Oryctolagus cuniculus: one gene and its partners. The protein of the gene in region 1 interacts with the protein of each later gene in a pairwise test. Links are inferred from orthologs where the notes say so. Each region holds a gene or a part of one and is shown in the gene's direction. Other genes may lie near its edges.

What was found.
Region 2: the proteins of LNX1 (region 1) and ACAT2 interact in binary tests that used the Homo sapiens proteins (3 or more experiments, as listed by UniProt). The two-hybrid records come from large-scale screens. The link is inferred for Oryctolagus cuniculus from reciprocal best matches to the Homo sapiens genes LNX1 and ACAT2.
Region 3: the proteins of LNX1 (region 1) and NUDT14 interact in binary tests that used the Homo sapiens proteins (3 or more experiments, as listed by UniProt). The two-hybrid records come from large-scale screens. The link is inferred for Oryctolagus cuniculus from reciprocal best matches to the Homo sapiens genes LNX1 and NUDT14.
Region 4: the proteins of LNX1 (region 1) and NADK interact in binary tests that used the Homo sapiens proteins (3 or more experiments, as listed by UniProt). The link is inferred for Oryctolagus cuniculus from reciprocal best matches to the Homo sapiens genes LNX1 and NADK.
Region 5: the proteins of LNX1 (region 1) and melanoma-associated antigen B18 interact in binary tests that used the Homo sapiens proteins (3 or more experiments, as listed by UniProt). The link is inferred for Oryctolagus cuniculus from reciprocal best matches to the Homo sapiens genes LNX1 and MAGEB18.
Region 6: the proteins of LNX1 (region 1) and OSGIN1 interact in binary tests that used the Homo sapiens proteins (3 or more experiments, as listed by UniProt). The two-hybrid records come from large-scale screens. The link is inferred for Oryctolagus cuniculus from reciprocal best matches to the Homo sapiens genes LNX1 and OSGIN1.
Region 7: the proteins of LNX1 (region 1) and RAD51D interact in binary tests that used the Homo sapiens proteins (3 or more experiments, as listed by UniProt). The two-hybrid records come from large-scale screens. The link is inferred for Oryctolagus cuniculus from reciprocal best matches to the Homo sapiens genes LNX1 and RAD51D.

What each region holds. Positions count from the first base shown.
Region 1 is NC_091439.1:110,430,600-110,434,099, forward strand, and holds part of LNX1 (E3 ubiquitin-protein ligase LNX), read left to right. Parts: intron 1-2,601; coding exon 2,602-2,760; intron 2,761-3,137; coding exon 3,138-3,273; 3' UTR 3,274-3,500.
Region 2 is NC_091436.1:8,274,901-8,278,400, reverse strand, and holds part of ACAT2 (acetyl-CoA acetyltransferase, cytosolic), read left to right. Parts: intron 1-1,183; coding exon 1,184-1,365; intron 1,366-2,375; coding exon 2,376-2,493; intron 2,494-3,500. UniProt on the Homo sapiens protein: Involved in the biosynthetic pathway of cholesterol.
Region 3 is NC_091451.1:47,132,777-47,136,717, reverse strand, and holds the start of NUDT14 (uridine diphosphate glucose pyrophosphatase NUDT14), read left to right. Parts: upstream 1-1,141; 5' UTR 1,142-1,237; coding exon 1,238-1,318; intron 1,319-3,396; coding exon 3,397-3,440; intron 3,441-3,828; coding exon 3,829-3,893; intron 3,894-3,941. UniProt on the Homo sapiens protein: Hydrolyzes UDP-glucose to glucose 1-phosphate and UMP and ADP-ribose to ribose 5-phosphate and AMP. The physiological substrate is probably UDP-glucose. Poor activity on other substrates such as ADP-glucose, CDP-glucose, GDP-glucose and GDP-mannose.
Region 4 is NC_091438.1:163,979,411-163,983,360, forward strand, and holds the start of NADK (NAD kinase), read left to right. Parts: upstream 1-1,150; 5' UTR 1,151-1,585; coding exon 1,586-1,764; intron 1,765-1,873; coding exon 1,874-2,068; intron 2,069-3,950.
Region 5 is NC_091453.1:12,178,088-12,182,336, forward strand, and holds the start of melanoma-associated antigen B18, read left to right. Parts: upstream 1-1,449; 5' UTR 1,450-1,660; intron 1,661-4,249. UniProt on the Homo sapiens protein: May enhance ubiquitin ligase activity of RING-type zinc finger-containing E3 ubiquitin-protein ligases. Proposed to act through recruitment and/or stabilization of the Ubl-conjugating enzyme (E2) at the E3:substrate complex.
Region 6 is NC_091449.1:65,745,147-65,748,646, forward strand, and holds part of OSGIN1 (oxidative stress-induced growth inhibitor 1), read left to right. Parts: intron 1-930; 5' UTR 931-968; coding exon 969-1,029; intron 1,030-2,061; coding exon 2,062-2,198; intron 2,199-2,649; coding exon 2,650-2,841; intron 2,842-2,974; coding exon 2,975-3,066; intron 3,067-3,500. UniProt on the Homo sapiens protein: Monooxygenase catalytic activity. Involved in regulation of cytokinesis; promotes RHOA activity, probably acting locally at the midbody in late cytokinesis.
Region 7 is NC_091448.1:39,164,444-39,168,591, forward strand, and holds the start of RAD51D (DNA repair protein RAD51 homolog 4), read left to right. Parts: upstream 1-1,348; 5' UTR 1,349-1,677; coding exon 1,678-1,759; intron 1,760-1,958; coding exon 1,959-2,020; intron 2,021-2,227; coding exon 2,228-2,346; intron 2,347-4,148. Other genes in the region: FNDC8 (fibronectin type III domain-containing protein 8), read right to left, coding at 181-389. UniProt on the Homo sapiens protein: Involved in the homologous recombination repair (HRR) pathway of double-stranded DNA breaks arising during DNA replication or induced by DNA-damaging agents. Bind to single-stranded DNA (ssDNA) and has DNA-dependent ATPase activity.

The sequences.
Region 1 (3,500 bases):
AACCTCCTTTGTTCATGGGTTGGAAAAAGTGTTTAAAATGTCGGTTATGCAAAGCAATTTTACAGATAAAATGCAATCCTCACTCTTGCAGTAGCACTCCTCATAGAAAAAAAACCCTATAATTCTCTCAGAAAAACAATAGACTGAAGAGCCAAGGCAAGCTTCAGCAGCAACACTGGAAGCATTACGATGCCTGATTTCAAGACAGATGACAGAGCTACAGGAACCAGAGAGCACGGTACTGGCGTGAGAACACACACACAAATGGGACAGAACAAACGACAGCCTCTGCTATTAATGGTGCTGGGACAACTGGATATCCACATGCAGAGAGCTGAAACTTGACACATGCACACAACCCACCTCTCAATCACTATAAAAATCAACTCAAAATGGACCAAAGAACTGAAAGTATTAAGTTACTGGAAGAAAACATGGTGAAAGTATTTCAAGACTACAATATAAGCAATGCTTTTGGAGGTAAAATTCCAAATGCTCGGGCAAAATTAAGGCAAAGACAGACAAGTGGGATTCCATCAAACGAGGAAGCTCTGCGCAGCAAAGGAAACAATCAGTGTTGTGAGGACACAACCGACAGAATGACAAAGAATATTTGCAAACTCTTCATCTGACAAAGGAGTAATATCCAGAATACGTAAGGAACAAAAAACTTAACAAAAAAAGTGCAATTTAAAAATAGGCAAAGGATCTAAAGACAGTTCTCAAAAAAGTAAACACAGATGGCCCACAAATAGAGGAAAAAGTGCATGGTCATTAGCAGGGAAATGCACATCCTAACAATGAGGTGTCGTATCGCCCCAGCTAGAACAGCTATGAATGCTAGCAGTATGCAGACGAGAGGGAACTGGGACACACTGCTGCAAACTCGCAATCTTCAAGCAGTGCAGGAGGCTCCAGCCATCTGGCTGCTGACATGTAGCTGAAGACAATGACATCGGCACGTGAGATACTGCACTCCCACGCTGACTGCAGCACTATTCACAACAGCAGACACGAATCAACCTCGCTGCCCAGAGACGGGTGAATGGTTTAGAAAATGCATGGTGTATGCACAATGGAGTATTATTCAGCCACAAAAAGGGGAAGTTGTGTCATCTGCAGAAAAACGCACAGAACCAGGGGCTACTAAGTGAAGTACCCCATGTCCTCCCCAACACGTAGAAGCTAAGCGGAGGAGTTGACCCGGATGTAAGGTCATGGTTCCGAGGCTGTGACCTGGGAAGGTCGGTGACAGGTAGCAGAACAGTGACGGAGGATGCAGTTCTGGTGTTGCTCAGGAGCACGACTGCAGGGACCAGGAACTACGAGGAAGGAGGCCCAGAGGGAGCAATGAGGGTATGTCACAAGGGTGACAAACAGGGACAGTTTCAGGTCCTACTCCATGAACCTGTTGTGTCTGCAGACTAGGAGCATGACCTGGGAAAGGCATCTTCTAATGACTTTCCAATCCCAGACGCTGGGCACAGGGTCTCCCACAGGGAATGTCATTGCCTTGGTGTCGGGGGCTAGGCACGGACCTGCTCCGTGCACAAGCACTCAGTAAGCTATTAAGTACAACATGGTATCTATCCCACACACCACGGCTTCTACAGGCTGAAGTCATCAACTGACATCAAAGTTTCTTGTGAAATAGCAGGTATTTGACAGTAAGTCGTTTTCTCATTTAATGACATTCATGTTTTTCAGCTATCGAATTATTATAAATGATATGTAGGACAACAGATACAAAGCACTACATTTTAAAGGTATTCATTAAACCTCAGAGGTGGTTTTACTTCAACTGAGTATTGGCAACGTCGTGAAAAAAGTCACATTACCCTGATTAGCAAGATCGGTAACAACTGTAACGAGCAACTTCACTTATTCACAAGAGACTTTTATTGGTTTTCAAAAAGCAATGTTATTTTAAGGTACAGTTTATAAACAGTAGTCATATCCTGATTTTTGCCAACATGAAAACGTGTTCCTCTCAGGAGTTCATGGACTACAGCACACATGTGGCAGACACAGGAGTCCTGGCGAGCAGGGAGCCAGTGACCAGGGAGAGTAGCAGAATGTGCCCAGCCTCCCTCCCTGGTTGGCTGAGGCCTCCACCCACCCACCCACCCACCCACCGCAGGGCTGTGCGCTCTCCTCCCATCCCTCCAGCAGCTGGTTTCTCAGCGTCTGCAGTTCCGCTTTCCTGAAGGTGCAATCCCACTCACATTCCGCCTGCACACTTCTCAGTCACCTACCAAACATGCAGAGCCCGATATGCACTAGAGCTTTCCGAAGGTCAAGTACACGCTAACAAAGTCATTCATTACACCTACATTTTCTTGATTTTAACGATTTGTTCGAAAGATTTCTGCCTTCATTAAAAATTTATACTCAGGTAAATAAAAATATGATGGTCATAATGTTTGCTGTAGCCAGCTGTAGCATAGAGGTTGCTGAGCTAGAAACACACTTGGGCGGGAGCTGTCCAGTGTTATTTAGCCTTAAGAAAATGCCAGCAGAAGGAATGGGATACAGGCACAATACTCCGTCTCCAGCCGTTACACTGAACTGTGCATATCCTCCAATTCTGTTCTATCCCAGGTACTTGTATCACTGCAAAGATGTCGCACTACGCAGAAACGCGGCAGGCAGCCTGGGCTTCTGCATCGTGGGAGGGTATGAAGAACACAGCGGAAACAAGCCTTTCTTTATCAAATCCGTGGTGGAAGGCACACCAGCGTACAACGATGGAAGGATCAGGTAATAAAGACAACTGCTGCACAGAGAGCTTACATTCAGGTCCTTTGCTTCAGACACACAATACTGGCCCCATCTGAAATAAGGGCTCTTCCTTTTGAGGGGAAGGGTGGGCAAGAAAATAAAACACTTGCACAGCATTTAACATAAAACACCCCGATGATCGATCGCACGTGCTCTCGGCCCTACACTGCAGGTCGCTCTACCTTGAGCACCCCTTTTAACACAAGCGGAATGACTAGCATGCTTAAAGAATCTAAGGGGGGGGGAGACCCTTAAGTAATCAAAACCAAACAAATCTAGCAGAAATGAGGCCACCAAAATCAATCTGCATAAACTTCAGCTAAGAAACCAAACATCCCTCCTGCTGCCTTGTTCAGGTGCGGTGACATTCTCCTCGCAGTCAACGGCAGGAGCACAGCAGGAATGACGCACGCCTGCTTGGCTCGAATGCTGAAGGAACTCAAAGGAAGAATCACCCTCACTCTGGTGTCCTGGCCTGGCACATTCTTGTAGCATCAATAACGGGTCAGAGAACATGACACACGGGCTAAGCTGGAACAATGTATTTATCTTGTCAATTTTTATAGTGAACGAAAACTTTGTGAAAATGTCAGAGAAGGCCTAATCTAATAAAGCCAATTGCACCTCAGAAAATAGGACTCTCAAAAAATAAAAACTACTACAGAATGGTCTGATCTAGGATGCAGCACTGCACTGTACTCCTTCATTTGTATTTTGTG
Region 2 (3,500 bases), on another chromosome or scaffold:
CACAGGTGAGTGCATGAGACTTTGAGACATCACATAACTACCAGGGGCACAGTTGGAAGTGGAGCCAGCACTTGAATCCAGATCTGTGTCTGCGATGCCAGTCCACAAGCTGAGGACTGGGCCGAGCCAGGAGCTTCTTCCAGGTCTCCTTGGTGGGTGCAGTGGCCCGAGCACTTGGGCCATCTTCCGCTGCTTTCCCAGGTGCATTAGCACGGGGCTGGATCAGAAGTGGCGTGGCCGGGACAAGAACCCATGCTGCTTGCCGGCGCCGTGGCTCAATAGGCTAATCCTCCACCTTGCGGCGCCGGCACACCGGGTTCTAGTCCCGGTTGGGGCGCCGGATTCTGTCCCGGTTGCCCCTCTTCCAGGCCAGCTCTCTGCTATGGCCAGGGAGTGCAGTGGAGGATGGCCCAGGTGCTTGGGCCCTGCACCCCATGGGAGACCAGGAAAAAGCACCTGGCTCCTGGCTCCTGCCAGGATCAGCGCGGTGCGCCGGCTGCAGCGGCGGCCATTGGAGGGTGAACCAGCGGCAAAGGAAGACCTTTCTCTCTCTGTCTCTCTCTCTCACTGTCCACTCTGCCTGTCAAAAAAAAAAAAAAAAAAAAAAAAAGAACCCATGCTGCGATGGTATGCCTGCGTCACAGGCAGCGCCAGACCCCTGCTGTGTGTGTGGTCAGTCATGTGTACATCCCAGATTAATAACCTTGTGATCAAGATGACTTTTAGCAGCTGGTAGCCCTGGGGAACGCCATCTCTTGATCCAAACAGTGCTCTCTCCAGCCAGCAGGCCAGCAGAACGCCAAAGGGAACGCTCAGTTGTCCGGAAGTCAGCAGGAGAAGTGCTAGGTTCGGGCAAATCTGAGAGGTGGCATAAAGACCCTTTGGCGGCAGACAGCGGTGCCTGAGAATATTTGGAACTCTTGACTCCACCCCTTCCGCTGCTGCTCTGCGTAACCCGTGTTTCCAGTCCCCACCGCGGCCTCAGGGAAGGCCTTTGTGGGTTCTGATTCCCTGCGCATCTTGTTGGGTAACCAGCGCGCCGCAGTGTGGTGACTAAGGACAAGAGGAGAAGAGCTGCCGAGGGCAGCCTGTGGGCTTCCGGCCCTGGCTGGCAGCGCTGCGTACCCTCTCACCCCGAAGTCTTTCTACTCAGTGCCTAAGGCCTCTGTGTTGCTGCTTCCAGGTTGCGGGCAGAATCCAGTCCGACAAGCCAGTGTGGGTGCAGGCATCCCCTACTCCGTCCCGGCCTGGAGCTGCCAGATGATCTGTGGTTCGGGCCTGAAAGCCGTGTGCCTCGCCGCGCAGTCGATAGCCCTAGGGGACTCCAGCATCGTGGTGGCAGGCGGCATGGAGAACATGAGCAAGGTACGGCCTCGGACGGGACGGCCCCGGTGACCTCACTGACGGGTCCTGTCCCTGCTCGTCAGAGCCGGAGCCACACAGTTAATGAATAAGCAACACGGGTTCAACCTTGACCCCCACCTCAGTGCTAATCATTCTTCAGGTTGGTTGGGAAATCCTAATTGAGGAAAAATCCTCCCTACCCGTGTGAGTGGAACGAGTGTACATTTCTTAAGCTGTGCTTATGAAGCGTGTAATATTAAAGCCCCAACAGGAGGGTGCTTCCGGAAGTTAATGGAAGCGCCAGAGTTGTGGCACCAGCCTCCCGTGTTCCTGGGATTAAGTCGCAGCTCTGCTTACAATCCAACTTCCTGCTAATGTGCCCAGGAGGCAGCAGACGATGACCCAAGTACTCGAGTCCTTGCCACCCACATTGGAGACCCAGATGAGGTTCCTGGTTTCTGGCTTCGGCCTGACCCAGCCCCAGCTGTTGCGGGCATTTGAAGAATGAACCAGGGGATGGAAGATCTCTCTCTCTCTCCCTCTCTCTCTGACACTCCTCTCAAATAAATACATAAAAGCATAGGCTGTCTGCCAGTGTCTGCTTTAGCAGGAAGTTGGAGTGGAGCACCAGGCAGGATTCAAGCCCAGGCCTCCGTGTGGGACGCAGGCACCTTAACTGCCAGGCCAGGTGTCTGCCCCTTTACACACTTCGGAGGTTCCCACTTACTGGTCAGCTGCCATCCTTGGTGACAGAGGGAGAGAGACGGATCTTTCATCCACTGCTGCACTCCCCAAACGGCCACAGCGGCCAGGGCTGGGCCAGGCTGAAGCCGGGAGCATCACCTGGGTCTCCCACGTGGCTTGCACGTGGGCCATCTCCTGCTTTCCCAGGTGCGTTAGCAGGGAGCTGGATCAGAGAGTAGTCAGGACGAAGGTGGCACTCATGGGCTGCCTGTGTGGCCGGGGCGGCCTGACCCAGGACAGGAGTAATCACCGCCCCGCCTCAGCCCGCGTTTGCTTCTCGTTCCCAGGCGCCACACTTGGTTCACCTGAGGACAGGAGTGCGGGTTGGGGAGACGGCGCTCGCTGACAGCATACTCTGTGACGGCCTTACCGACGCCTTCCACAACTACCACATGGGTGTTACGGGTGAGCACTCCCACAGGGTCGCGAGCTCGCTCGCCGCCTGCCCCATCGCTCCTCACGGGCAGATCCTGTCCCTGCTGTAGGACGAAGTCCCTCTGGTGAACTGCGGTGCAGCGAGTCAGTGTCTCCCCTGACCGTGTGACCATGTGACTCCCTGACCAGCAGAGCACTTAGAAGGGGGGTCCCTTGGAGTTCTGCAGCCCCCATAAAGAGGGTTCTGTGCAGAGGCCAGCCGGTACTGCTGGGCCCTCACTGTGCGATCTGCGCCGTACAACTGGGTCGAGTCATCCGTGTGCAAGGCCCTGTGGTCTAGGTTTCCTGCAAAGTAAGTGGGAAGTCGTGAGAAGAACTCGTGTCTGTGTGAGACTTCGAGTTAAAGAAGCAGACCCGAGAGGTGAAGCGCCTTGCCCAGACGCGTGCAGCTTGGCTCTGGCTCGTGAGTGTGAGGCAGGAGAAAGGTATTGAGAGGGGCAGGACTTGGTCAGCAGGAAGTGCGGGCAGAGAGGGGAGGGCCTGGCGGTGAGGGCTGCAGCAGGCCAGGCCGAAGGGCAGGGCAGACCCTGGGAGCTGCGTGCCGGCCAGGGTCTTGTCACAGCGTCGGGTCAGTTTCTCAGGTGTGGTACTCGGGCCTCCCGTCACCAAGGGTTGTAGATTCAGGTCCTCGGTCTTGTCCAAGCTGTGACGCCACCAAAATGTGCTTGTTAACCCGTAACCGGAAGCCCCTCAGCACGTGACTGTGTTTGAAGACAGGGCCTCTAAGGACGCAGAGTGGACAGCGAGGCCATGACGGTGGGCTGTCGTGCGATCTGAAAGGTGTGTGTGAGAGGAGGGAGCTGAGACAGACGCCAGGCGTGAGCACGCACAGGACACCGCGAGGGGGCGGCCGTCCGCAGGCCAAGGAGGCGCTGAGCGAGGGATCGCCCGGGCTTGTGCCACTCACCAGCTCTCCGTCTGGGGCACGCTACGCTGGTGCAAACAGCCAGAGAAGCAGGGCCTGCTGGGGTGTCTGG
Region 3 (3,941 bases), on another chromosome or scaffold:
AGCAGCACCGTAAGTGTGCCGCCTTGAGTGGGCATTTGGTCTCGCCGGGAACCCCCGGTCAGGAGGTCTGCCCCGGGCTCCTGGCTGCTCCGGGCATCTGCGGAGTGAACCAGCGGGCAGCACCTCGCTCTAAGAGATACATGAAAACTTGCTATCTTAACTTTTATTATTGATTTCATTGGAGGGGAAATACATCACGCCAAATTCAAACAGCACTTAAAGGGGTCCGAGCACAAGTGCCCCCAACAGCAGGGCAGGGACCCAGCCCTGGGCCGGCCTCGGCCGCTCCTCAGCACACGCCCACAGCAGGACCTGGCTGGGCCCTCGGGACGCTGGGCGGCCGGGCGGGGCGGCGGCCGGTCCTGGACGAAGGCGCCACGGACTGCTTCCCAGTGTCCCTCCTTGCGACGACCTCTTGCCCTGACTCGGGTGGCCCAGGGCCGTCCTCCTGACCTAAGGGGTCAGCCCTGCTGTCCCAGGGCAGGCGCCAAGCGAGGGCAGCGCAGCTGTTCACCCACAGCGACTGCAGGCCCGCGACCACCTGCCCACTGCAGAGCAGGACCCCAGGGCACAGCCCCGGCCAAGCCACAGCCCAGCGACACGGGGAGCAGGTGCAGGCCAAGGGTGCGGGCCTCAGCACCCATCTCACCGTGCACCTGCCCCGGCGTTCTGGGGAGGTCCCGCGGGCCCTCCACAGCCGGGTGTCAGCAGGTGGGGGCTTCCGGGAGCGGGGCCGCCCCACAGAGTGGCAGCTCCTCCGACAGGGCACAGGGGCAGAGGCCCGGCCCGGCCCGGCCCGGCCCGGCCAGCCCAGCCTCCCCGCCCGCAGCCCTTCTCGGCTCCTCGCGCCTCGCCCTGCTTCCAAAGGCTTCGTGCGGCCTCCACACGCCTCTCCGGGCAGCCAGGACCCTCCCACCTCGGCCTCGGTCATTCTCCCCCAGGGAGCCCCTGCCTCGGAGGACTGCCCGCCCCCGAACGGCCCCCAGGCGCGACGCAGCCGCCCCAGCCCCTCCCCGACCAGGACGCCCCACGGCCCGCCAGACCCGCGCGCTCCTTGCTCGCAGGCCACACCTGGCGCGCTACCTGGGGCCGCCGCCGCCGCCGCCGCCGCCCGCGCGCCCGCCCCGCCCCGCCCGGGCGCACTGGGCATGCGCGGGGCGCGAGAACGCGCCCGCCGTTCCCAGCGGGCGAGGCCCCTTCCTGCGCCGGCCCCGGCCTGCCTGCCCCGCGCGCCGCCATGGAGCGCATCGAGGGAGCAGCCGTGGGCCCCTGCACCGCGTCGCCCTACCTGCAGCCGCTCACGCTGCACTACCGCCAGGTGAGCCCGCGCCGCCGCCGGCCCCGCACGGCCCCCGGCGCGCTCCCGCGCTTCCCGCGCCGCCCGCGAGGCCCCGCCTACCCCGGGCTCTGCGCGTGGGCCCCGCCCCGCCCGCGAGGCCCCGCCCACCCCGGGCTCTGCGCGTGGGCCCCGCCCCGCCCGCGAGGCCCCGCCCACCGCGGGCTCTGCGCGTGGGCCCCGCCCCGCCCGCGAGGTTAGCGGGGCAGGTGAACCGCGTCTGGCGCGGGCCCCCGCCTCCCTGCCCGGCCCAGACGTCCCTTTTTCGCCCTGGGACTCAGGTGCCCTGGGAGGTCGAAGAGGCTCCCCGGAGGCGGAGGGCTCGGCGCCGAGACTTGAAGGAGGAGGAGGTGGACAGAGGGCGCTGGACAGGGGGCGTGGCAAGGTGGGCTTCCTCCCCAGGGGCTTCGCAGGGCGGGCGCCTCCCGGAGGCCCGGCCCCCGCCCAGGACGTGGCCTCGGCACCGCGCGGAGCAGGTTCACCGAAGATTCCCGCTGGACCACTGGGTCGTGGCGCCTTCTCCCGCCTCTCCCAGGGCCTCACCGCGCCCCCACCTCGCGCCGGCCGGCCCACCCGTCCCAGGGCCGCGCCTCCTGCCGGGCTCCTCCAGGCCCCGCGGAGACCCTCCCTGGGTGCAGGCCGGCCTCCAGTGCCCCCTCCCATCCAGGCTCCTGCCACTGTCCCTGCCGAGTTGGCAGCGCTGGTAGAGGGGCTGGTGGGGACGTGGGGGACAGGGTGCCTGCTGTGGCTGCACAGCCCCCGGAGCACCCGTCCCCACCCCGGGCTGTGCTGGCCAGCAGGGTCGCACTGGCGCAGGTGCAGGCCAGCAGGGACAGGGCTGGGGTGCCCAGGGAGCCAGGGCCGCAGAGGGAGCGGGCAGGGCAGGGCAGCCAGGGGGCCCTGGTGGGGGCCAGACAGCCCTGAGGAGGACGGGCCCACGTTTCCACCCCAGGCCCGTCCTCAGGGTGCTGTCGCCAGGGTCCTGCCCGTGGCTGGCGCACGGTGGCCGCTGGAGCTGGGCAGCCTCTGGCAGGCGTAGGTCCAGCCCCCTCCGAGAGGCCTCCCTGGGGGAGAGGGGGCCAGGGAGCGGCACAGCCCGCCCGCTGCAGGCCCCAGGACGGTGTCCAGCTGGTGGGTGCTGGCCCCGCCGACCCAGGCCTTGCTAGAGCTGCTTTGGCTGCCCCAGCCCTCAGGGCCTGACCGAGGGCCCCAGACCTGTGTGGGTGACACCTAGGAGAGGCAGCTGGGGGGGGCAGCCTGGAGGGGCACGCCTTCCCCGAGCCGGCCCTGGTGTCAGGCAGGCCTGGGCTTGCCTGCCGGGTGGTGCCCAACGGCCTTCCACTGGAAACCAGGCTCAGCTGGGGCTGACTGCTCAGGCCTCCCATCCCCTCCCGTCACCTCCTCCAGGAAGTCCTCAGGAAGGCTGACCCTTGGCATCCTCCCTCTGCTGTCACCCCAGCTGTGCCTCCTGTCTCTGAGGCTCAGACCTCTGTCCATCTCAGGTCCCGGACAGAGCCCCAGGGTCCTGCTCTTGGCTGGCGCACAGTGGACCCAGTGGACCCTGGAGCTGGGCAACCTCAGGCTGGCCCCCGGTCCGGCCCCGTCAGCGGAGACCCTCTTGGGTGGGAGTGGGCCGGGGGAATGGCACTGTCTGCTGCGGACCCCAGGGTGGATGCTGGCCCCAGGAGCCCTGCCTTCTACCTGTTGGACCGGCTGCCGTGGGGAGTCCGGCCCCGGCCCCCTCGTTGAGCACTGCTCAGGCCCTCCTGGTAGCCCGGGCAGGGTGCAGGCTGGGGAGCAGGACCACGGAAGGCAAGAGGGGCTGCCCAGGGTGGAGGGGTCGGGTCTCCGAGCCCCGCAGGGCGAGCAGCCACCTCTGCCGTGGGATCCTGGTCTCTGCTCGGCCTGAGCTCCCTGCGCTGGAGCCCCGGGCCCTCTTGACCAGTGCAGGCCGCGGCCCCTCCCCAGACATCCCTCGTGGGAGCGGTGTGACGGGCCCGGCGGGCCGCCTCGGTGGTGGCAGCCCTCAGCCCGCCTCCCCACCGCCCCGTCTCTTTCAGAACGGCACCCAGAAGTCCTGGGACTTCATGAAGACCCACGACAGGTGAGAGCCCGCTGGCCCGCCTCGGGAGCGGGCTCCGAGCCCCGCCCCCGCTCAGCCTCCAGTTTTCCTGTCCTGAGGGCTCGGTCGTAGGCCTGGTGGCTCAGCGGTAGTGGACGGGGCCTCTGGGAGCTGGGGGCGCCTCCTGGTGCCCTCGCCCGCATGTCTGGGGTGTGGGCTGTGCTGGCCCAGCTGCGCAGCGTGCCCGCCCCCGCCCTGCCAGCTGGCACAGGGAAGACCGGGTCCTGGCCTGATGCGTGAGCCCTGAGCTGTGTGGGCTCGGTCTCCCCATCTGAGCAAGGGGCCCGGGAGTGGGTGTGGGAGGCACGCTGGGCACGGGGAAGCCAGGAGGGCTGCTCCTGTGCTAGCCCCCCCCCCCCCCCCCCCGCAGCGTGACCCTGCTCCTGTTCAACTCTTCCCGAAGGAGTCTGGTGTTGGTCAGGCAGTTCCGGCCAGGTGAGGCAGGCAGGGTGGGCTGGGGTGGGGCACCTCGGGCGCTCTGGG
Region 4 (3,950 bases), on another chromosome or scaffold:
TTGGTTTTGTGTATCGAGTTTGCCTCTCCCGTCTTGACTTTGGGGTGACGTCGTGGGTCGTGTGGTGGGCTGCTGCGTGGGCTGCCTGCGTGCTGTGCCCCGGGCCCTGCGTCGGGGCCAGCTTTTCCAGGCCTCTTCCCGCTGTGTCCCCGGCACGACACTCTGTCCCTGTGTGCCTCGGGCCGCACCCCAGGACCTGGGTCACGACCCCAGGCCCTCTTACCCGCCTCGGTGCCGGCGTGTGCCGGCGTCTGCCGCCGCAGGTGCCTTGGCCGGTTTGCTGGTTCCCTGTGTGTGGCAGCCATCCCGTCACCATAACGGTTTCTTCATTACGGTTCCTCTTTGATTCTTTTAAGGTTTTATTTTTTTTTTTTTAGATTTATTTATTTATTTGAAAGTCACAGTTACACAGAGAAGGAGAGGCAGAGAGAGAGAGAGAGAGAGAGAGAGGTCTTTCATCTGCTGGTTCACTCCCCAGATCGCTCCAACAGCCAGAGCTGGGCCGATCTGAAGCCAGGAGCCAGGAGCTTCTTCCAGGTCTCCCACGCGGGTGCAGGGGCCCAAGCACTCGGGCCATCTTCTACTGCTTTCCCAGGCCACAGCAGAGAGCTGGATGGGAAGTGGAGCAGCCGGGACTCTTATGGGCGCCCATATGGGATGCCGGCACTGCAGGTGGAGGCTTTACCTGCTACGCCACAGTGCTGTCCTCCAAGATTTTATTTATTTATTCGAGAGATGTAGTGACAGATCTTCCATCTGCTGGTTCACTCCCGAACAGCTGGGGCCGGGCGGGGTGGGCCAGAGCCGGGATCTGGACCCTCAGGGGCTCTGCCGCAGCTCAGGCACGGAGCCCAGGCCGCGCTGCGGCACAGCCGGCGGGCGTGTAGCTCACCACTTTTGTTCTCGGGACTTTGAGCCTGGCGTTAACCGCGAGTAGACTTTGGCTCCGGGTCGGCATCGCCCTCACCTTCCGGGTGCTCTGTGGACTGGCTCTGAGGTTCGCCGTCAGCCCTCGCCAGGGTCGGGAGCGAGTTCAGAACCCCTGTGGTGGGAGTGTGGGGGCCGCACGGCTTTGTCACACTTTTATTCTTGTGTGTGTGTGTATTTTTTTAAAAGATTTATTTACTTATTTTGAAAGAGTTATGGGGGGGGATGTCCCATCTGCTGGTTCACTCCCCACATGAGCACAACAGCCAGGGCTGGGCCAGGCTGGAGCCAGGAGCTTCCTCCAGGGCTCCCACGCGGGTGCAGGGGCCCGAGGACCTGGGCCGTCCTCCACTGCTGTCCCAGGCCACAGCACAGAGCTGGATGGGAAGTGGAGCAGCCGGGACTGGAACTGGTGCCCATGGGATGCCGGCACTGCAGGCAGCGGCTTTGCCCACTGCGCCCAGCGCCGGCCCCGTTTCTGGGTTCTGGGTTCTGCTGTGTTGTGGCAGAGAGGAGCTTCTCTCCCTTCTCCTCTTTTGGAATTTGAGGCCCGCCCTGGCTTCAGTGTAGGTCGGCCTTGGTGATCGTTTCCTGAGTGCTGAACTTAAACGTAGCCTGTGCAGGCTCTCCTGGACTGACGGGCGCCGTGCAGGGCGCCATGTCCTGCCCCGGCACTGACCCCGGGGCTGCTGTGTGCCAGCAGCGCCACAGCTCCGCCCCCGGCACTCCTCTCACTCCTCGGCTTCTAGGGCTCCAGACCCTTCCAGAAGCCCCAGGTTCATGGCTGAGGTCTTTGTCCTCTTTGGGGTGGAGACAGCCTGTTTTCAAAAAACTTGGGTAAATCGGACATCAGCAGCTTTCCCCTAATGTGTGTGCTTTATCGCTGTTTTGTGTATCTGTGTTTGTTAGTTTATTAAATAAGACATCAGTGTTTTTCTGTCCAAAGTTATTGCTTAGCGGCTACAGAAACGGAACAAGAAAACATGAACACAAACAAGGAGCTAAGTCCAGACTCCGCCGCCTACCGCTGCTCGGCGTGCCACGGCGATGAGACCTGGGGCGACGGCCCCCCCATCCGGGGCCGGGCCAAGTCACGCAGCCTGTCGGCCTCGCCCGCCTCGGGCAGCACCAAGGAGTTCAGGTATGGGCGCGAGGCCTCTTCCCCTCCCGTTCGTGATGTGATTTATTAATATGGTCACGAAGAATCCTTGAGAATTAAATATTGAGGCCGACCGGTGTTACTAGTGTGGTTTCTGTCCAGAAGGTGGACCTGGGTGGCCACCTCCCGAGTTGGCCCAGACCACCCAGCTCAGCCCACACCGATTCTCTCGCTCGTTCGTTCTTTTTTAGTGTCAGGTAGAGAGAGAGAGAGAGGTCTTCCATCTGCTGGTTCAGTCCCCAGTGGCCACAAGAGCCGGAACTGAGCCGGTCCAGTGCTTCCTCCGGGTCTCCCACCTGGGAGCAGGGGCCTGAGCACTTGGGCCATCTTCCACGGTTCTCCCAGGCCATAGCGGGGAGCTGGATGGGAAGTGGACCAGCCAGGACTGGAACCAGTGCCCATGTGGGGGCTGGCACTGCAGGTGGAGGCCCAGCCGACTGCCTCACAGCACCGCCCCCACACTGCCTTTCAGTATTAGACTTGGTGAGGAGACCTCTGTGTTCCTGGCCCTTCAGAGAGGCGAGGGCCGGAGGGCATGCCTGGGCAGGGCCCGTCACGTGTGTGCCCTCTGCCCGCCTGCCCCTCCGTGGGCCGCGGCACTGCTCTTGCTCAATGGCGCTTGGGCAACAGCAGCCAGACCTCGTGTCCGGGAGGCCTGACAGGCACGCGGCGGTGACGGTGGCGGTGGCGGCACTGAGCTCGCCAGGCGGTGCCCTCAAGGAGGGCTCACGCCCGTGCCAGCCAAGGGAGAGTTCTTCGGTGGAGAATGGTTGTTGTTTTTGTTTTATTGTTTGTTTTTAAAGATTTTTTTGGAAGGCTGAGGAAGACATCTGTTTTCGAGGTCACTGCCCAAGTAGCCAAAACAGCCAGGGCCGGGGGAGGCCACAGCCAGCGCCTGGAACTCCAGCCTGGGCTCCCACATGGGTGGGCGGCAGGGGCCCAGACACTTGGCCATCATCCACTGCCTTCCCGGGCGCGTTACTAGGGAGCTGGATCAGAAGCAGAGCAGCCGGGATTTGAACCGGTGCTTTTGATATGGGAGCCGGCATCGCAGGTAACAGCTGACCTGCTGTGCCACGACCCCAGCCCTGGAAAGTGGTTTTGAAAGCAGGCCACGTTTGGGGACCAGATGAACTTGGTGGGCAGCAGCACCCCGTCACTGGTGAGGGCCCTGGCGGCGTGGGCACGGCTTGCCCAGAGCAGCCGCTGTGGAGTTGTCACTCGGTCCCTGGTGCCTCCAGGCCGTGGCGGTGCCCGACAGAGCTTTTTGCTTTCGGTTTCTGTAAGTTTGTTGGCTCCGTGCAGCCTTCCTGTCAGGACCCTGGACCTGGGGATACAGACAGCGGTCAGCGGTCAGAGGCAGGCTCTGGAGGGCCCTGAGTGAGGCGGGGGAGGGGAGCCACGCCCCCAAGGCGCCCATGGCAAGTGGAGGAGCCGCACACCTGGTTTCTGGTTGCCTTTTGAGTTCCTGAGTCCAGTCTGGGTTTTGCAATACACTTAATCATCTTTAGAAGACGTACGTAAGCAAGCCCAGAGCACGCTCGGTCCAGAAAGGCCCCAGGTGTGCCACAGCCACCAGACGCCCGCTCTCCAGCGTAGACACTGGGACGCTGGCAGTGGTTGAAGACAGAGAGCAGCGGGCGGCTCCCTGCTGGCCATCACGTCCAGTGGCCCCGGAGCGTCCTGCTCCCGTGGTCAGGAGGTCACAGGTGTCGCCTCAGCCCATTGACCCCGGTAAAGGCAGGAGCACCAGCCCAGGGCCTTTTCCCAGGATGCCATGAGTCAGTCACTTTTCATTTGTTGGAAAAGTTGGGCTCTTCGTATAGTTCAGGGTAAATGTTTTTGTTAACATTAAATTTGTTTT
Region 5 (4,249 bases), on another chromosome or scaffold:
TTAGAGTGTGGTTGAATTGGAAGAAGGCTGAGAGATGCAAGAAACAGTCATGCTACAATGTATGGGTGGGTGGGGAGTGTTGGGAAGTGCAGTGTGGCTGGCAGAAGTGATTAGGCTTGATTTAAATTGAGTTTCCTAACACTGGTACTAGAGCAACGAGCAGCCAGATTTACATGAAATGGATGGACTTTTTTTCTGATCAGTAGTTGCCACAAAGGCAGAGTCAGAAATGAGCATGATGCAAACCATTGTGAAGGGCTCATTAGCTACATTTCACTTTCATGACATTATAAATGGCATCCCACATAGCTTTTGCCTGGGTTTCTTGCAACCTGAAATCAGTGCTTCCGTGAGTGGTAAATTTGCCTTTTTATAATCTGTCTGAAATAAAGAGTTTATTTTTAAGCCAGTTAATACTTATGAGAATATGTGCAGTTTTTAATAACTAAATATCAGTATTAAAACTACGATGCTGTATTTTTTAATCAAGTTCATTGTTTTCATGGCTTTTCTCCTACTACAGTTTATAAAATAAGATATGAATAATATGAGGAAATTCTGTCCTTGGGTAAATATAAAGAAAACTATTTTTGTCATGTTTCTATATTCTGAATACTGAGTTGCCAACTATGTGGGCAGAGACTGGGTTTTTGTTCATTAAGTAGTTCATATTCCTGTCTTACTGTCTTACAAAGCATGTTCGCCCCTGTGCTTTCTGTAAGTAGCCCTTTAAGGCTTCATGTGGGAAGTGTGACTTTTCTTTTCTCAAACATTTGTCTGATAGGTCTCCCAGTAACAAATCCAACTGTTTTTGACTCATCTAACAAAGATGCTATTTTCCCCCTGGAAATTACTCTTTATTGTTCTCTTTAGTGATCTCAGTGGCAGTCTGCTGTATCAATAGGAGTTGTGATAGTTAAATTGGAAAGTGTTGCACCCAACTAATTTACGTTAGTTTATATAGAGCAGTTGTATTGTAGTTACTATATTTGAGAAGGTGAACTTTTTATTTTTTAAACTCCTTTAATATGTCTTATTATCAAGTTCTAAAACAATTCCCTTAACAAACGAGTGATTTTTGTAGTCAAGAAACTGATGTTAACCAACTGTTAGTTTTTCTTTGGTGAAAAGGCATAAAATTGCCTTTTCCCTCAACCATGATTAGTACGGTAACATGGTAGATTTTCCATAAATCTGTGTTGCCAATGGCTGAGAGATAAGGTGAAGATGTTACAACTGTTGGGCCATTTTTTTTCTGTGCATCAATGGAACACATTGTACAGAAGCTCAAGCAACAGAAGCAAAATGTATAACAAAATTTAAAAATATGACATTGCTGTAGTTTGGATGATTGTGTCCCTTCAAATTTTGTGTTGAAATTTAATCTCCCATTACAGAAGTATAAAGAGGTGGGGCCTTTGGGCGATGATTAAGTCACAAGGGCTCTGCCTGCATTAGTAGGATGAATGCCTTTATAAAAGAGGATTCAGAGAGCTGCCTGGCCCTTTTATCACTTCTTCCATGTGCAGACACAGTGTTCATTCCTTCTGAGTTTTCCACAATATGAAGATGCCTCAAGAAGGGCCATCTACGGAACAGGTCTTCACCAGATGCTAAATTTGCTGGCACCGTGATCTTGGACTTTCCAGTCTCCAGAATTGTGAGAAACCAATTTCTGTTGTTTATGTATTACCCAGTCTAAGGGATCTTGTTATAGCCGCAGGAAAGGACCAAGATAGGCATGTGCCATTTCTGTTGTTTAATCAATTATGTATTACTAGTATTTACTAAGGCTATTCTAATTGATGCCCAAATAACACATGCATATGTAAATAACATTTGGTATATATGTGTGTGTGTGTGTATGTTTGTGTATAGATAGGTAAATAGAGATATTTTGAGTTTGGAGTTATGGAATAAATAACATTACACATTTTGGCAACTATCAGATTCTAGTTGGATATACAAAATTAATTAGCTTAAAGGTATACCTTAGTGTCTTGTTTCCTGGGCTTTTAATTTATGCACTTTAATCAATAATTTGTTTATATTGACCAAAATTTGATGCTGGAAATCCTCATTTAAATGAATACTGCTGTTTATGCTTTGAGCATATGTATCTTTTTTTCTTTCTTGTTCAACCTTCAAATACATGCTTACCCATTTATTCTACACTTAACGCAATACAATTAATAACATCGATTTGGGAAGCCAACTTAATTCAAATCCTAGCTCTGCATCTTATTTCTGTGTGTGTGTCTGTGTTTTGGTAAGTTAAGGCCGTTTTGCCTAACTTTATACCTCATCTAAAAAAGAGACTAATAGGAAGACTCTTTGGGGTTACTACGAAGATTAAATGACATAATATGAAGAAATAACAATGTTGTTAACACTCTAATAGTACTTAATACATATTAACTACCATGAATTGAGGCCTCAATTTTATTTAAAAGATGTGTATTTATTAGAAACGCAGAGTTACGGAGATGCATAGGCAGAGAGAAAGATGGGGGGTGTGTTCCATTCATTGGTTCACTCCCTAAATGGTCACAATGGCCAGAGCTGGGCCGATCCAAAGCTAGGTAAGCCAGGAGCTTCTTCTGGGTCTCCCACTTGTGTGCAGATCGTATCAGAGAGCTGGATCAGAAGTGGAGCAGCTGGGACTCGAACTTGTGCCCATATGGGATGCTCGCACTGCAGGTGGCAGCTTTACCCACTAGGCCACAGTGCCGGCCCATAGGCCTGAAACTTAAGTGTAGCACATCTTAACAACCCAAAAATATATGTATGAAGTTATAGTGAAAAAGATTCCTAATATATTTTTTTTTTATTTTTTGACCGGCAGAGTGGACAGTGAGAGAGAGAGAGACAGAGAGAAAGGTCTTCCTTTTTGCCGTTGGTTCACTCTCCAATGGCCGCCGCGGCCGGTGCGCTGCAGCCGGCACACCGCGCTGATCCGATGGCAGGAGCCAGGTACTTATCCTGGTCTCCCATGGGGTGCAGGGCCCAAGAACTTGGACCATCCTCCACTGCACTCCCTGGCCACAGCAGAGAGGGGCAACCGGGACAGAATCTGGCGCCCCGACCGGGACTAGAACCCGGTGTGCCGGCGCCGCAAGGCGGAGGATTAGCCTAGTGAGCCGCGGCGCCGGCCAAGATTCCTAATATTTAAAAGTAGAGCTGAGCATTAAATTATTAACAGAATCCAATAAGAATTAAATTAACTACACTTGCTTAAGAATCATATTTGATATTGGCGGCCAGCACTGTGGCGTAGCAGGTAAAGCTACCTCCTGCAGTGCCAGCATCCCATATAGGTGCTAGTTCAAGACCTGGCTGCTCCACTTCCAATCCAGCTCTCTGCTATGGCCTAGGAAAGCAGTGGAAGATGGTCCAAGTGCTTGGGCCCCTGCACCCATGTGGGAGAACCAGAAGAAGCTCCTAGCTCCTGGCCTTGGATTGGCCTAGCTCTTGCCATTGTGGCCATTTGGGGAATGAACCAATGGATGGAAGATTTCTCTCTCTCTCTGCCCATGGCTCTTTGTAACTCTGCTTTTCAAATAAATAAATAAATCTTATAAAAAGAATTATATTTGATATCCAATATGATTTCCAGATGATTCAGAAATTCCATACCTAGTTATTTAACTGAGAATGAAAAGTGAGTATACATAAAGACTTGTATCCTGCTGTTCATAGAAGCTTTATCCCTATCTGGTTTTCCAAAACCAGGAAGCACCTCAAATGTCCATCAAAAGATGAATGAATAAAGAAATCATGGTATATCTGTATAATGGAATACTATTAGCAAAACCTAAGAACTACAAACAACATGTGATAACATGGATGAAAAAAAAGTCTCAGTGAATGAAAAAATCCAGCTGTAAAATAATGTACATTTTATATTCCATTTAAATGAAATTCTAGACATCTGTAATGGTAAATGATCTAGTGATAAATGCTTCACGGTTCCAGTTTCCAGACTAGATCCTGCAAGAGAAAACAAACATGTTAAGATACTGGAAAGGAACGGAATATAATACATCAATATGATTTAACAAAAGGAAATGAGAAAGAGAAGAGTCAAATAAATAGAATAGAAAATAATAGAATTGATCAAGCAAAAGATGATCCTTTGAAATATGATAATATGCTTGCAAGATTGATTAAGATAACAAATGAATTATACACATATTAGGAATGAAAAAGAGATACTATTATAGATTCTACAGGCATTTAGAAGAGCATA
Region 6 (3,500 bases), on another chromosome or scaffold:
CGCAGGGAGTGGCCGCGGCCAGCGGTGGCCGCAGAGCCCCGGGGCCGCGCGCGGGGCCGCGGGGGCTCGGCGGGGCCGCGAGGCGGGGGCCAGGGTCGCGGGGCCGCGCGCAGAGACCCGGGAGGGGCGGGGCGGGTCCGCGGGGGCGGGGCCAGGGACAGCCGCCGAGTCACGGGGCTGCGCGCGAGGGACTCGGGGCGGGGCGGGGCCAGGATGGCCGCAGATTCACGGGGCTGCGCGCGAGGGACTCGGGCAGGGCGGGGCCGCGGGGGCGGGGCCGCGGGGCGGGGGTCACGGGGCTTCGCGCATGGGCTCGGGGGCGGGGCCGCGGGTCGGGGCAGGGGGCGGAGCCACGGGGCTTCGCGCCGGGACTCGGGGGCGGGGCCGTGGGGGCAGGAGCGGGCCGGGGCAGGGGTCACGGGGCTTCGCGCAGGGGCTTGGGGGGCGGGGCCGAGGGGCAGGGAGGCGGGGCCGGGGCAGGGGTCACGGGGCTTTGCGCAGGGGCTTGGGGGGCGGGGCCGTGGGGGCGGGAGCGGGCCGGGGCAGGGGTCACGGGGCTTCGCCCAGGGCTTGGGGGGCGGGGCCGGGGCAGGGAGGCGGGGCCGGGGCAGGGGTCACGGGGCTTCGCGCAGGGGCTTGGGGGGCGGGACCGGAGTCACGGGGCTTCGCGCAGGGGCTCGGGGGCGTGGCCGGGGTGGGGCGGGGCGGCCGCGGAAGTTCCCGGGGGCTGGGCCGGGGTTTCCCTGGGAAGGCTCAGGAGGCTGCCCGGACGCCGGGCTGGGGGCGCCCTGGGAACTGGGGAGCGGGAAACCGGCCTGTTCGGGAGGAACGAAGCGTGCTATGGACTTGACCCCGGGCCCCCAGGACGCCGTCCCGGGGCTGGGAAACGGACCTGACCCGGGTGGGCCCTCTCTCCCCTCTGCCCCCCAGGTCGGCTGCCAGCCTCGAGTCTCCCACCAGCCCCAGCCATGAGCTCCTCCCGGAAGGACCGCCTCAGCAGCCCCGAGCCCCTCCCGGTGGTCATCATCGGTGAGTGGCCGCCCGGGCTGGGGAGGGCCGTGCTGTGCCCCGAGGGCCAGGTCAGCGCTGCGCGAGGCCAGGCCTGGCTTCTGGGCAGCTGTCCCCTTTAATGACCGCGTGGCCAGCACTGAATGGCCCAGGGTGGGCGTGTGCACAGCAGTGGTCAGGGTGCCCGGGTTCCAATCCCAGCTCCTGGAGCGGGCGCCCCAGCCGGCCCCGGTTCCAGCGCCTGGGCCGCTGCCACCCACGTGGAGACCTGGACGGGAGCTCCTGGCTGCTGGCCCAGCCCTGCCTGTTGTGGGCATCTGGGGACTGAGCCAGAGGGCGGGAGCTCTCTGGGCCACCTTGCAAATAATTGGAAATAGCTAAGACTTAAATCGCAAGCCCTAAAAACTGCTTGTTAAGAAGTTCCAGAGAATCCGTCCCAGAACGCAGGGGGCGGCCCGGGGCGGGGACCGCGTGAGGGACACAGCAGCGGGCCAGGGTCCCGTCCCCAGGTCTAAGATGTGGGCGGATGCCCTCCGGCACACACGTGATGTGGCTGGTTTAGTGAGTCAGGAACGGGTGGATGTGAGCGGGGTCAGACTCTGCACAGGAGGAGGGAAGAGGGGGTGTGAGGGGAACAAGATGCCAGGCGGGGCCTGGGTGATGGGGGGATGTGAACGCCCCCAGGGGCAGCGTCCCCCCCTCCCCAGGGCTCGGCACCCTCGGGCACATGGCCATCCGTGAGGTCATGTCCACCGTCCCATCGGTCTCTGCCTTGTCCTGGATTCAAATCTCTTCAGCTGTGTGACCGTGGGCGGGCCGATTAACCTCTCTGTGCCGCTTGCCCCAAGGCTGAAGGGGGAGCAGCACGGCCGTGCAGCCTGACACCCGGCCAGAGAAGCCCCCGCTGCTCACTGCTCTCTCGGGCATTAGAAGCAGCGACTGGCCACGAGCTTAGCAAAGGACGCGTCTCCTTAGCTTGACCTTCACGAACAAGGAGTAAGCCAGGTCATGGCCGAGCCCGGCCGGGGTCTCAGCGCTGCCCTCTCTCTGCAGGCAATGGCCCCTCGGGCATCTGCCTGTCCTACCTGCTCTCCGGCTACACGCCCTACGTGAGGCCGGACGCCGTCCACCCGCACCCCCTGCTGCAGAGGAAGCTGGCCGAGGCTCCGGGGGTCTCCATCCTGGACCAGGTGGGCCAGAGCTCCGCGGAGGATGCCCCACTGTGGGAGCCTCCCCCCGCCCCGACGTGTGCAGGGAAACACGAGGAAGCACCGGGAACCAGGGCTCCTCGTCACACACGTGTGCACGCCACGGCCGGCAGCTCTGCTCCCCAGGGGACACGCTTCTGGCTGTCCCCACTAGGTGGCGCTGCTGGACCCAGTGTGCGCGGTGCCCGTGATGAGACCCCCATCCCCTGCCCCTGGCGCCCTCGCTCTTCTGAGCGGGGCCGAGGACGCAGCTCTGGGTGGTGCTGCTGGGGTCTGCGTGGTCGAGGCGCCTGCTGGGCAGGCCCTCTGCGGCAGCGACGGCATCCCCACGCCTGACCGCGCCCTCGCAGTGGGGCTGGCTGCAGGACAGGCCACTGGCTCCAGGGCCGGCTCAGCCCTCCCCGCGGCCCACTCACCTGCGCCCCTCCCCCAGGACCTGGACTACCTGTCTGAAGGCCTGGAAGGCCGCAGCGAGAGCCCCGTGGCCCTGCTGTTGGACGCCCTCCTGCGCCCAGACACGGACTTCGGGGGGGACGTGGAGTCCGTCCTGACCTGGAAGCGGGAGAAGCACCGAGCCGTCCCCCACGTGGTCCTGGGCCGCAACCCCCCCGGGGGGGCCTGGCACGTGAGTAGGGGGCCACGCCGCCTGCCCTGGGTCCAGCTCCTGCACCCCCCACCCCTTCTCCCGCCCCATGCCCTGCAGCCCAGGCTGGCCTTGGGCTACAGAGTGCAGGGCCAAGGGCTCCTCTCGCCTGCAGTCCATCGAAGGCTCCATGGTGACCCTGAGCCACGGCCAGTGGATGGGGCTCCCGGACCTGCCCGTCAAGGACTGGATGCGTGTGAAGCGCAGGTGAGTGGGGACCCCCGGCTGGGGCCACAGGGTGCTGCCCCCTCTTCCCCCAAGGCGGGGCCCCAGGCTCAGTAAGGACAGCAGTGCCCGGGAGTGCGCGCACCGCCAGGCTGGGCCTGCCCCAGGGCCCCCCAACCCCCGCTGCTGCTCCCCGCCCCCAGGTCGCGGGATCCCCTGCTCTGAGTGAGCAGCCCCCGGAGAGTGATGGGAGGCGCCTCCTCTCCCGGGCACGTTGTGGATACTTGTGCATTAAAAGCAAGGTCGCGGCACAGGAGGCTGCCGGTGGAGAGCGGGAGGCAGGGCCGCCGTGCCCGGGGCGGCTCCCCCGGCCCCACGGGCCAAAGGGCACCCCTGAGTAGCCTGTCCCGGGGCGGGGGCTGAGTCGGGCTGGCTCCCCATCTGCAGGCCCTCGGCTCTGGGGTGGGAAGCCCCCC
Region 7 (4,148 bases), on another chromosome or scaffold:
AGGCTTCCTGGAGTGGGAGAGCCTTGTACTGCAGGGACCAACTCTGGGCTCGGGAACACAGAGGTGCGACCCACACACGTGGTCTTTCCAGGGGACCTGGGGGCTGGCCTGAGACAGGCGAGAGGGTGCGGCTTCCTCTGGGCCCTCTCCCGGTCCCCCAGCTCCAGAGTCGCGTCTTACACAAGATTGATGGTGTCTTCCTCCAAGAAGTTAACCAAGCTGCCTCTTGAGGAAAGTGGGAGTCCTTTGGTAGTGACGGTGCGGTTCATGGACTTGGGGTTCAGAAAGGGCTTCGGCAGCTGGTCGAGTGCACTCACGAGGTTGAGGTTTTCCTTCTTCAGCACGGCCTCCTCCCCATCTCCCACTTTACAGAGTGCGTTTGATGCCATCTGGTTGGTTTGGGACCACAGCCGTCACCATGCAGGACCACCGAGCTGGCAGGAAGCAGAGAGAAACTGCGGGGCCAGCAGACACACCGGAGGGGGTGCAATGGGCTGACTTCACAATCATCATCAGCTGTAACAATCAGGGGCCAGCCTGGCCCTGGGTTTGAGGCTCCCTGGGGTGCTGGCTGGGCCAAAGGGCCAGAGCCACAGGTAGGGTGGAACCAGGCACAAACCACAGCATCCCTCAGGCTCTACCAATGCCCACAACAGCCAGGGCTGGGCCAGGCCGAGGCCAGGAGCTCAGAACTCCATCTGGGTTTCTCCCATGAGCGGCAGGGACCCCGTCATCGGAGCCATCATCCCCATAGTGTCCCCAGACGCCTGCCTCTGAAGACCTCGGAACACTCGACACCTGTGCCTCTCTGCGCTGCCCTGCAAGGAGATAGAGGATGAAAAAGGCGCCTGGGCGGGGAGGGAGGTGCCTGGGGCTGGGGAGGCTGGCGGTTCCGGGCAGAGTCTCTGAGTGCGGGCGACGCTGGCTGCGGAGGCTGCTGCTCTCTGTCCTCAAACTGTAGGCGGCAAACCCCACTGGGTCGGGTGATGGCTCCCGGGTGCTCACAGCTCCCAGGGGAGGCCGCTCGGAACAGGGATACGAATAGCGCCTCCCTCTAGGTTTGTCAGAGCGCTCGGTAAAGTCATTTTCACGCTTCACCGAATCGCACGTGCGTGTGCGCGTGTTCCATATGCTCCAAGGTTTCGAGACAGAGAAGTAGGTGCCCCCTGCGTGCTTATCCTAGGATCCGTACCGGTCAGATTGCTTTGAGTCCTTTTCATTGCCTGTCTCTCCCCGACTCATCAGCTCCCAGAGGGTAGAGGATTGTCCAGGAGTTTAACATTTTTGTCCTAGGGCGGCCGTGGGCGCGGGGTGGGCGCGCAGGAACCGGATCGGGCTGGCGCGGCGCCAGGCGGCGGCTCACGGATCGCGGATCGCGGGGCCCGTAGGACCCGCGGGCGCGAGGCTGCGGCGGCTCGCCCTGTGTGGCCAGCAGGTGGCGCTGCGGGCCTGGCCCACGCCGCGCGCGCGAGCCTGGAACCCGGAAGCGGCCGGAGGCGGGCGGGCCCTGGGCGCCGGAGGGGCGGGTGGTCAGCCCCCTCCTGCTACCCGCCGCTCGGCGCGGCTCCTAGCCCCTTCCTCCCGCCAGCAGTGCGTCAGGACCCGCTGCACCGAGGCGTGCGAGGGGCGTCTGAAGGGGGCTCTGCAGGGACGCTCTGTCCCGCGCTGGCGGGGAGCATGGGCGTGCTCAGGGTCGGCCTGTGCCCAGGCCTCAGCCCGGAGATGGTCCAGCTTCTGCGGAGCCGCGGGATCAGGACAGGTGACGGCGGGCCGGCGGGCGTGCGTTCGTGCCGGGAAGCCGCGGGGCCACCCCTCGCCCGCCACACGCGCCTTTCCGCGCAGCCTCGGGCATGGGGCGGGGGGCGGGGACGCCAAACTCTGGGGAGCGGTGTCGCACCGGCCCTTGGGAAGCCCCTGGCCCCCTCGCTGCCCGTCAGCTACAGGTGTTTTGTTTTCAGTGGTGGACCTGGCCTCCGCAGACCTGGAGGAGGTGGCCCAGAAGTCTGGCTTGTCTTACAAGGTGAGCTCAGGAGGAGCTCCGCGCTGCGAGCCTGGGTGGGCTTCCTCGCCCCTGCCCAGGGCAAGGGAGCAGAGGCTAGCCCGAGATGGACGAGGGGAGCTGGTGAGGCCCAGGGATGGTTGAGTTCCCGGTTGTCCCTCTCAGTGGCCAGCCAGTCTGAGCTGCTCTGGAGCCTGAGCTGACACCCCCCCCCCCCCACCTTGGCAGGCCCTGGTCGCCCTGCGGCGGGTGTTGCTGGCTCAATTCTCGGCTTTCCCCATCAATGGCTCTGATCTCTACGAGGAACTCAAGAGCTCCACCGCCATCCTGTCCACGGGCATCAGGAGGTTCGTATGTGACTGAAGCTGCCTCTCAGCTCAGCCCTTGATGAGGGAGGCTGGAGAGAGCAGGTCCTTGGAAGCACTGTGGCTGTGTGGGAGATGGGGACCGTCCTGAGCTATGATGGTGGACCCCACCCCACCCCGACATCACCCCTTGCTGAGATCTACAAGATGTCAGTGTCTCCTTGTTACTCAGCACATTGGACTATCTCTTCTGTGGTCCTGCCTCCCATTTCACTTAAGGACAGCACTTTAAAAAAAAATTTTTTTTTAATTTATTTGAAAGGCAGAAAGTTACAGAGAGACAGAGGGAGAGATAGAGAGAAGTGTTCCATACGCTGGTTCACTCCCCAGAATGCCCCAGTGGCCAGAGCTGGGCCGATCCAAAGCCAGAAGCCTGGAGCTTCTTCCGAGTCTCCCATGCAGGTGCAGGGGCCCAAGGACTTGGGCCACCTTCTACTGCTTTCCCAGGTCATAGCAGGGAGCTGGATTGGAAGAGGAGCAGCCGGGGCTTGAACTGGCGCCCATATGGGATGCCAGCACTGCAGGCAGCAGCTTTATCTTCTACACCACAGCGCCAGCCCCAAGGGCTAGCATTTGCTGAGTGCCTACACTCGCATCTATTGACCATAGGGTTATAAGTGATCTCATCAGGGACCCCACAGATAGAGGCATGAACTCCACTTGAGTTTGGCCCCAGAGGAGTAGCAGAGGTGAGGCTCAAAGCCCAGGTGTATTTGAACCAGAACTTGGTTCCTTTCTCCACTCTCTGCAGTAGTAGAGAACAAGAGGACTTAACAGAAAGGAGCAGCTGCCTCCTGCCCTGATCGGCTGGGGAGGGAAAGAGTTGGAAGACAACAGGCATTTTCTGGCCAAATGAGTGCGGCCTCCTTCCTGGCCTATTTGTGCAGAGTTTGATGTCTTTGGGTTGGTTTAGCCTTTGCTGTTTCCATAACATTCTCTTGGCAAGATTCATACAGCATGGTGCCTGCCGCTGCTGCTGGGGTCCCGGTTTGTGATCCATCAGGCACTGGCTGAGTGCCTGCCTCCTGGGTGCAGGTGCATACAGATGGTATATATGCCCGGGAGGCCTTGAGGAGACTGGTGTCCACTGGGTATAGGAGAAAAGCCGGCGAACATAGGAGGAGTGAGTGCATAGAGGTGGCAGCATCCAGGAGGGAGTGATTAACAGGAAGTGGACTGGCCTCGGGCTTAGGGAGCTGATAAAACCGCCACACATGCAGAGAGCAATCAAGTGCTGCCCTGCAGGACTGCAGCTGGCTCCGGCCCTGCAGGGTAGGCCAGCCAGAGTGGTTCAGGAGGGCTCCAGAGGAGGCAGGCCTTGGGCACGGAGCAACAGATGGGCTCTCACCGAAGCTTGCTGGGAGCCGGGCACTGTGCTCAGTGTGTCGTTTCGTTACTTCACAGCCACCCGTGAGCGTGTTATCGCTAAGGTCGTCACTTGGGAGGTGAAGAAACGACTTGCTGAGGAGGGGGCGGCTAGTGAGCAGCAGCCCTGGCACACGCCCCGCCTCTGAGAGCGCCCCTCCGCCTTGCCTGCCTGCAGCTGGGAGCAGAGGCACAGGCAGTGGAGTAGAGGTGTGCAGAGTGCACGGGCGGCGGAGAGAGGCCAGGGAGGGACTGCTAGGCGGGGGTGGGGGTGCTGTGTGAGTCGGATCCAGGGCGGGTGGTGGTGGGAGATGTGTTGAATGAGAAATAGGAGAAGCTGTACCGCCAGGTGGGAGGAATCAAAGATGACTCCTCAGGTTCCCAGCCTTCATCGTGATGTGCTCCTGCCTGCCTGCCTG